Arabidopsis thaliana: one gene and its partner. The protein of the gene in region 1 interacts with the protein of each later gene in a pairwise test. Each region holds a gene or a part of one and is shown on either strand. Other genes may lie near its edges.

Evidence for each region.
Region 2: the proteins of RR10 (region 1) and CRF6 interact in a protein complementation assay, tested with the Arabidopsis thaliana proteins (one study listed by BioGRID).

Annotation. Positions count from the first base shown.
Region 1 is NC_003075.7:15,443,553-15,449,176, forward strand, and holds RR10 (response regulator 10), read right to left. Parts: upstream 3,491-5,624; 5' UTR 3,215-3,490; coding exon 3,088-3,214; intron 2,632-3,087; coding exon 2,479-2,631; intron 2,375-2,478; coding exon 2,036-2,374; intron 1,956-2,035; coding exon 1,879-1,955; intron 1,785-1,878; coding exon 930-1,784; intron 846-929; coding exon 738-845; 3' UTR 501-737; downstream 1-500. Other genes in the region: BAT1 (HXXXD-type acyl-transferase family protein), read left to right, coding at 1-144. UniProt on the Arabidopsis thaliana protein: Transcriptional activator that binds specifically to the DNA sequence 5'-[AG]GATT-3'. Functions as a response regulator involved in His-to-Asp phosphorelay signal transduction system.
Region 2 is NC_003074.8:22,803,445-22,807,272, forward strand, and holds CRF6 (cytokinin response factor 6), read left to right. Parts: upstream 1-1,735; 5' UTR 1,736-1,829; coding exon 1,830-2,777; 3' UTR 2,778-3,083; downstream 3,084-3,828.

The DNA of each region.
Region 1 (5,624 bases):
GATTACATGGCCCCACTGTGTCCACCGGTGCCACAAGTTGCTTATTTCATGAAGAACCCTAAAGATGCCAAAGGTGTTCTTGTGAGGATTGGCTTGGACCCACGAGATGTTAATGGCTTTTCAAATCATTTCCTTGATTGCTAATATATTAGCTGGTGATAATTAATTAATTAGTAGAATCTTTGTGGTAGTATACAGTATGATAATGGCTCCTCTATATGCATGCGTGTGCGCTAAAGACACTTTATTGTAATTGGGTTATGATGATGTATAATTTAATGACATCTCTCTGCTTTGTATTTGTTGTCGTTATCACTTTTATACTCATTTCGTGATAGGCTTTATTTTCTTCCAGAATTTCTGGATAAATAATTATAAAGTTATGTTTCTTTGTAGACTTTTTTCTTAAGGTCGCCAATGTTGGGTGGTTGACACCTAAGCCAGGTTATTGGGCATATGGGGCCGATTTAGGCTGGTAGTACAAATCATTGTACTACTTTGATTCTAACGTTATTTTGCACTTAGACACGAAGACTTTGACTTCCTCTTCAAAACACCTTTACATTTGTAGCAAAGAGGGTACTTTTTGAATTTTATTTATGGATTTGGATCTTCCTAAGTTGCTCAAACCAGTGGGGGAGCGGTAAACAATAGCTTACACTTTCATTACAGAGAAGAGAGAAGAGACAGAACCAAAAGATAATAATAATTGATTGTGTCTGAATAAAACAGGTTTCTCAAGCTGACAAAGAAAAGGGAAAATGGAGTTTCTCGTATGCATGTTCCGAGTGAGCTAAACCATCCAAATCCCAATCACCTTCCGAGAAATCAGATTGGCTCTGTTCCTGTTACAGTCAAAGTAACAAATCTTCAGAAATCTCCAAAAGAATAAGGTGCAAAAAGTAAATGGTTTTTATTGTATACAATACCTGTGTCATTAAGGAATTGACTATATCATCTAAGGAACCAGCATCAGAAGCCATCAAACCACTCTGAAGCTTCTGTTGTCCCATGAGTAAACCTTCGTTTGGATTGCTACTTCTAAACAGTTGAGCTTCTGTCACTGGACCTGAGTTGTTTGCAGGCTGCTGATTCATCTGTAATGGATAAAAGAAGTCTGTTTGTGCAGCATTTGTGGATCCAAAACCCGTGTTTCTGCAGAGAGATGCCGGATTTGTATCCAGGTTTGGGTTTACTAGCGGACTAGCTGAGTCGCAGAACGCATTCCATTCCAAGGTGTCAGGTTTTGAATGAACATCACTCTGTGGAATGTTGGTTGACAATGCAGCGTTTGACCAATGTTCTAGACGCTTGCTGATCTCGAAATGAGGAGAAAAACCCGGGTTTGAGGGTAAAGATGATGACTGCGGGTTACCCTCGAGAAGTAACAGATTACTGGGAGCTACCATTGGAGAGTTTTGTTGTGAAGTAAAGCTTGGAAAAGCCCTGTTGATGTTGTTGTTGATCTGAAGCTCTTCTAGCGGCAAACCCTGAAGTATGTTTCCTCCATCATTATGGTTACGAGGAAACGATGATGAGACTGGTTGGAACATTCCTGCTCCAAGGGAATTCAGACGACCAAGATTCCTATTTGAAGAGTAATGCCTCATCATTGTGGTTCCACCATGGAACTGACCGGATCCAACAGGTATTCCGCGGTGGTGGTGGTAGAAGCCACCAAGTCCTTTCTGAGAATTCATTTGCATAAAATGTGAGTCAATAGCCGCCCTGTTAGCTTGTTGAATGGCGTCATCAGACACCTTCTTCAGAGCAACGCGGAATTTCTGCAACCAAAAGACATTACAAATGTGTTTAATGGAATCATACATATATCAACACTAACAGATCAAATCTGAAGAATCATAGTCTAACTCTCACCTGAAGGTGGCTTGCAACATTCTCTCTAGTGAGTTTGTCAACATTCATCAGATCTAGAATCTTTTTTGGAACAGCTCCTGCATCATCAATACTTATAAATCAGAACATGATTCACAGCTAAATGAAAACTAGAGGTAGAGAGATCAAGAAACATTACTCTCAACGCCTAAATGATCAACAGCTGCTAGGAATTTATTGTGCAGCTCATGCGTCCAAAGAACACGAGGCTTCTTCTGCGCCGTTGGATCATCATTATCATTCCCTCTTTCTTCCTCTTCCTCCTCTTCATACTGTTCTTTACGTTTTCTGTTTGCTTTATCACAGTTTCCTGAACCATTACTCACATTGCTCTTATTCTTCTTAAGTTTGCTCTTTCTCACAACATGTTGCCATATGTTCTTAAGCTCCTCAATTCGAACCGGTTTAAGCAGATAATCACAGGCACCGTGCTTGACTCCTTTCATCACATACTTTGGATCGCTATGCGCAGATAACACTGCAAGAATTCAATCATCATGTTAAAGATTCAAACAGTCAAATCTGTCTAACGATCAAAACTTTCTCTAGGAACTATGAACTAGAACAAGGAGAGCTGCATACTTATGACAGGTAAGTCCATTTCAAGACCAACAAGCTCAAGCAGCTTGAAACCATCCATGTCTGGCATGTCGACATCGCTAATAACAAGATCAAACTTATTCTTGTTCTCCCTCAACAACTCCAATGCGGTCTGTGCCTGATTCGTTGTTGTAACTGCACATTACAATAATAATAATCACCCACAAAGTTTCAGTTTTGACTCATTCAAAAGTAGTAAAGCAAGAACCAATGGCTCTGTGACACATGGGGAGCAATCAAATATGTAATAATTCCCCAAAGTCTCAATTTTTACAGAACAAGAGACTGTTTCAAATCGAACGAACAAGAACCAATGACCTTTGAAACACAAGTGAAGCAACAAAATCTGAAGCATGGATTTTTAAAAGTAAAAAAATATGCAGAGAGTGAATCTAGCTAATATAGTCTTAATTGATTCTTCAAGCTCGTCTTCAAAAATATAAAAATCTAGAGAGGAATCGATTTATGGTGTTATGACAAGAAACGAATCTGATGTTAAATTTTGTAGCTTAACCAAATCCAAAATCTAGAAAACATCAAGAAATTTGGTATTAAAAAAAAACAAAGAGAGAGAGAGAGAAGGAACCAAACCGTGATATTGGCAGCGCTGAAGCAAAGTCTGGAGAATACGGAGACAAGTCTGGTCATCGTCAACAGCAAGAACTCTCATCCCAACCGGAAACTGGTCCAAGACTTCAATTTCTTGCTCCATAGTCATCGCCGTCAAAGATTATGAATTGAAGTAGAAGAACAAACAAAGTTCGGATTATTATTATTAGTAGAGAAAGAGACAAAAAGTTGTATGGCAGAGTAAAATTTTCTTCTTTGGCAAAAGAGAATCTAAGACTACATATGGTTTCTGAAAACTCTGTAATGATCTTCAAGACTGGCGAATTAACTCATTTATGGAATTCTCTTTTCAAATTTTAATCATTTCTGGTAAATTTTCTTTTTGACATAAGAAAAAAACAAAAAACATTTTCAGAGGAGAATCTCTGAGAAAATTCAGTGGAACCGATCGGTCATTTGAGCGTGATAATCACGCGCCACCTTTTTTAAATTAGTTTGGTTTCTTTTGACTGTGGGAATAATATTTTTTAGTTTAGTGATAATTAATTGAAAAGGAAAGAGGATCATAATATTTTTTTTTTTAAATGGATAAAAATGTGAAAGTGTTTATGTAAATGATTCTGCAGATCATGTAATTAATTTAGAGATATGTTTGTGATATTGTACCAAGTATTCAAGGCAGGAAAGAAGAATTTGAGTTATTACCATAACTTCAAAAAGAATTGAATACTTTCCTTAATCTGTGTCTTAAGGAATGGACAACTAAGTTGAGTATCTCATAAAACGGATTTACCATAAGAATTAGTGCAAATTATGGTATTATGATTTTAAAATATGTAAAAGAAAGAAAAAAAAAGACAGGCTTTAGTGAGAGCATGCATGGTGAAAGTTGGGAAGTGCGAGACACGCGTGACCGTGGTTCATGGCTTTTTCGCTTATCTCGTACAGGTTCTGAAAGATTTAGCAAAATTAAGTATCCCATAGTAACGACCAATAATGGCTAATGCCGATATTATTCAAACCTAAGACAAGACTATTTTTAACGTCAGAGAAAGACTTTTAAAATTGATGAAAAAAAAAAAAAAAAAAGACTTTTAAAATTTACACCATTACTTGGATAATTTTACACTCTTACCATATGAAATTAATTTTAGGAATATGTATAATCAAGAAACACATGTTACAATGGTTCACAATGTTTATAAAACTTTCAAGTCAACAAATTAAACTCATAGCACGATATTTATCACCGACCAAATGTATCGTACGCTCGAATTAAACTTTGAAGTCAACAAAGAAAACTGCTGTCACAAGTCTATTGTTACATGATATTAGTCATTGAATTTAGTTGTTAACTACAAATTATATATTATTTATTTATTTGATTGTCCGTTTAAATTTAGCAAAATACATTTATATAACTATGACAAGACAAAAAAAAGCCATAAAACAAAAGGCAAGAATTTCTTGAAGTTGGGTTCCATCCGCATCTTCAGCCTACAAGCTTGGTGGGTGCAAAATAAGATCCCAATGATTTTATTATAGTTTATGAATTAATTTTGTATGATTTCTTGGATTAACCACACAGCGTGTTCATTTCCGTGCCTCTCCTTTTCTTATAGAAAATAGCGTACTTCGGATCAATAATATGTTTTGGCTAGCTTATTAACATAAAAAAATAAAACATTATTACAATTATGCATCGTTTTTATTAATGTAAAATAGGTTATCAGTTAGTTTTGTTTTCCAAATTAGAATCATAAGGTTTAATAAAAGTATCACCAGCATAAGATTTACTAAAAAAAATGCAAGATCTAGAAAGAGATCCTAAATGACTTTTTGAATCTAGCCTAAGAACCTTCTACAAATCTACGATAATTTATTTAGTATATGAAGAAAATTAGAGAAAAGTTGTATTCTCATTGTCTTGTGACAAAGCCTTGATAAACCTAGAATAAAAGAATACAGAACTAGATTTTACGATTTTAAAAGAACATCAACATATGTTCGATGCAATGCATTGGAAAATAAAGGACAACTTTCTAATACAAATCATTATCATTAGCTCTTCCAATTTTATTTTATTTTGTGTGTGTGTATGTTAAATAGTTGCAGATGACATTAGAGAGATTAAAGAAATCAGTTTTCTAGAAGATCCATGTAAACATCAAATCTGTAAAGATTCTACTTCTTAATAAGTTATTGGAAGTCACTTGTCATTAGCTAATACCTACTGTCATTGGCTTATGGTCTCATATAGGATACACACATGTATATTAGTATATAGTATATATCTATTCACATTTAAATATGAGAAATTAACAGCAACACTTTGGTGTAATGTTTAATTTTAAGAAAAATAATTAAAGAGAAAGATGCTGATAAAAATAATAATAAAAAGAAAGAAAATAAGTAATAATAAAATGGAGGAGGAAAATCAAGATTAGCCAAAAATTGAGGTAATCTTGTCTCCCACAAGGGCTAACCACACCGGTCATAAAATATGCTTCTTGTTCGGTTGCTTCCTAATCACTTCCTACTCTATTACTCTTACTAGA
Region 2 (3,828 bases), on another chromosome or scaffold:
CGGGAGTTACGTGTGGCAATGCCGACAAATGAATGCAAAGTGAGGTATATGAAAATGACGGGTTCCTGACGGAGGAGATGATGGAATTATTTACTAAGGTTTGCTAACATCTTCTTTTTTTATGTATGTATGTTTGGATCAAAAAGTATACAAAACCATATTAGACAATTTAAGAGAGACCACTCTCTAGTCTCTACCTAGTAAAAGTAGTACCTACTACGACTATCCTAACGAATGTCATGCAATTTAATGTTCCATATACAATTTTTTTTTTTTTAATATATTAAAAACAACCCAATAGGGCATGGGCTAAGACCCAATACACAGATGAAATCCAGTTACAAAATAGGTTAAACAGAAAAAGTCACCGACAAACAAAGAGGTTCGAACCTTGCTGCTGGTCGGAAGCAGAGTGGTCGGAGCCTTATATCTGGCGGACTCAAGCATCACAGCTTTGCGGCCGCAGACGACGGATCGAGAAACGCAGCTGGAAGATTCCGGTTTCCATCTGCACCTATCTCCGCCGTCGCACCAACCCACCACAACTCTCCCAGAAAGCTAACCACTCCGACTTACCGGTTCCGCGATATCTGTTCCATGCCAAGCAACCCGATACACTAGAGTTTAACCCCTCTCCGACTTAATGTTCCATATACATACTACTAACTATTATTAAATCAAACTGACTGTTATTTTTAAGGTCTAACTTTTAACACGAGTACCTGACTAATCCCACGTAAAAAAAAAGTCTTGAAATCACATGTATCTTTTTATAAAATCACAGGTGAATTCGTGTAAGTTATATAAGGTTCAAAATAAAACAATATAGAATTACTGTAAGTTACAAGATTTGGTATATTAACTTGTAGAATTATCGATATAATAAAAGCTTATTTTTCAATTATTATTTTAGGACCAAATCTAGTCAAAGCTCAACCATTAACTATGGAAATCTAATTTCTAGTTACCTTTTTAATAGTAGCTTTTTCTAATAAAGTTTCTGATAAGAGACTTGGTCTCCAAGCAAAAGATCATAAATTTTTTCCGAAATTAAAAATATATTTTAATATTAAAGACGAGATTTTATTACTCTTTCAAACACATCGTTAGATTCATTACCATTAAACTTCACAATTTCCATATTGGGTCAATGCGAATTGACACATACTCGTGACCAATCTCACACGCGTGGAGCCCACTAGCCGGCGCGTGTAGCAAACGTAAAACAGACCGCGCGTAAAAGAGTTAAAAGTTGCTTGGAGACCAAGCTATAGATTAGGACAATTGGCTCTACTTTCGGTACGGTAACTACCACGTGTCATAAATCTAACGTCTCAATCTGAGATGCGGAAAGCCGTTTCTGGATCCCCCATTGGCCGCCACGAAACCGCCCTTAAGCATCGTCCCTCTTTACATTAAATCCAAATCTAATTCCCGGTTTATAAACTCCATTAACCGGATTAAATTTCAATAGGTTAAGCTTTGATAAACGTATGTCATTTCACCAACTATATTTTAAGATACGTTTAGTTATAAGGTTGAATGAGTTTTGATTGGGTCAGTGTCTCATATCATATGAATAGTGTTGAACACGCATCAATTTCTCTGTAACAGTTAAAATCTAATTAAATTAATTACATAGAAAAAATCACGTTACTAAACAAAAATCTCCAAAAATAGTGATGAGTTAATAGTATTTAAGAAGGATGTTCCTGAGAAACGGCGATTCTTCTTTAACCTTTTGACTCTTCTTCTCTCTCTCTCTGCAAATTCAAAACAGTGAAAAAAACCTCTCTTCATTTTTTAACTCCCTCTCTCTCTCTCTCTCTATGGAGAGACGAACGAGACGAGTGAAGTTCACAGAGAATCGTACGGTCACAAACGTAGCAGCTACACCATCTAACGGGTCTCCGAGACTGGTCCGTATCACTGTTACTGATCCTTTCGCTACTGACTCGTCTAGCGACGACGACGACAACAACAACGTCACGGTGGTTCCAAGAGTGAAACGATACGTGAAGGAGATTAGATTCTGCCAAGGTGAATCTTCTTCCTCCACCGCGGCGAGGAAAGGTAAGCACAAGGAGGAGGAAAGCGTAGTGGTTGAAGATGACGTGTCGACGTCGGTGAAGCCTAAAAAGTACAGAGGCGTGAGACAGAGACCTTGGGGAAAATTCGCGGCGGAGATTAGAGATCCGTCGAGCCGTACTCGGATTTGGCTTGGGACTTTTGTCACGGCGGAGGAAGCTGCTATAGCGTACGATAGAGCCGCGATTCATCTCAAAGGACCTAAAGCGCTCACGAATTTCCTAACTCCGCCGACGCCAACGCCGGTTATCGATCTCCAAACGGTTTCCGCCTGCGATTACGGTAGAGATTCTCGGCAGAGCCTTCATTCACCGACCTCTGTTCTAAGATTCAACGTCAACGAGGAAACAGAGCATGAGATTGAAGCGATCGAGCTATCTCCGGAGAGAAAGTCGACGGTTATAAAAGAAGAAGAAGAATCGTCGGCGGGTTTGGTGTTCCCGGATCCGTATCTGTTACCGGATTTATCTCTCGCCGGCGAATGTTTTTGGGATACCGAAATTGCCCCTGACCTTTTGTTTCTCGATGAAGAAACCAAAATCCAATCAACGTTGTTACCAAACACAGAGGTTTCGAAACAAGGAGAAAACGAAACTGAAGATTTCGAGTTTGGTTTGATTGATGATTTCGAGTCTTCTCCATGGGATGTGGATCATTTCTTCGACCATCATCATCACTCTTTCGATTAAAAATCTCTTCTTTTTTGGGGAAATTTTTGTGTGGTGATGATGACGTGGATACATCGTGACCGTCGGCTTACCTTTTTTAGTCTGAATGACGTGGACTGTTCAGATCAACTGAAGCGCAAACCCAAAAAAACTAGGGTTTTGTTTTATTAATTTGTGGGTAAATATTTTAGTTAAGAAGAAGATAAGTATGTTAATGTTTATCAAGGTTTGGACCTTTCGTTGTTTTGGTTCCTCTCTCTGAGATTGTCTCAACGGTAGGAAGCAGTATATAAATGTGTTTCTATGTCTATAAATTATTTATGAAAAACAAATCGTATGGAATTTTATTATGATTATGCGACAAGTGAAACAAGTCTTTACTTCGAAGTAAAAAAACAAAAAAAAAACTTATTCACAAATAGAATTGTCAGAACAGTCTTGGAAATTCAAGAAAAGTCATGATCTTGACTAATTATAAATGAATGATTGTATCATATTATTGATATCATCTTTTGTGATTAGAGATCAAAAAATATTTATATATATAGTACTTTAAAATATAAAAAATTATATTTTAAATAGTAATCACCATGCACCAACACCTCTCTTCTTCTTTTTTTTTTTTTTTGCATATGCAATTGTTGTTTTGTTGTGACAAATAAAATAAAACTGTGGTGCTCCTATCTACCAATTATTATGAAGCGATGTCATGGTTTACTTATCGCTTTCTACAAAAATGTTCTCAGTCATGTAGAATTGGTGCTGGTTTTGTTGAGTGTATTAAATGTAAATCCGTATCCTTTTTTTATATATAACATAAATCTTTAATATAAAGTATGTGACAAATTGTGAAAAATCTTATGATAAATAAAATTTTTAAATTTTTAAATTTTATCATGGAGTTATTTTTTAATTAATATATGGTTGATAAAAAAAAAAATCTAAATTTAATTCATACTATAGACTCCATATTTTTTATACGGTAGATATATGGGTTGCATGTGGATTACGACAACGACGCAGTTCGTTTTTTACTCCAAACATAAGATTAAATTCGAATTTAAATTTGATA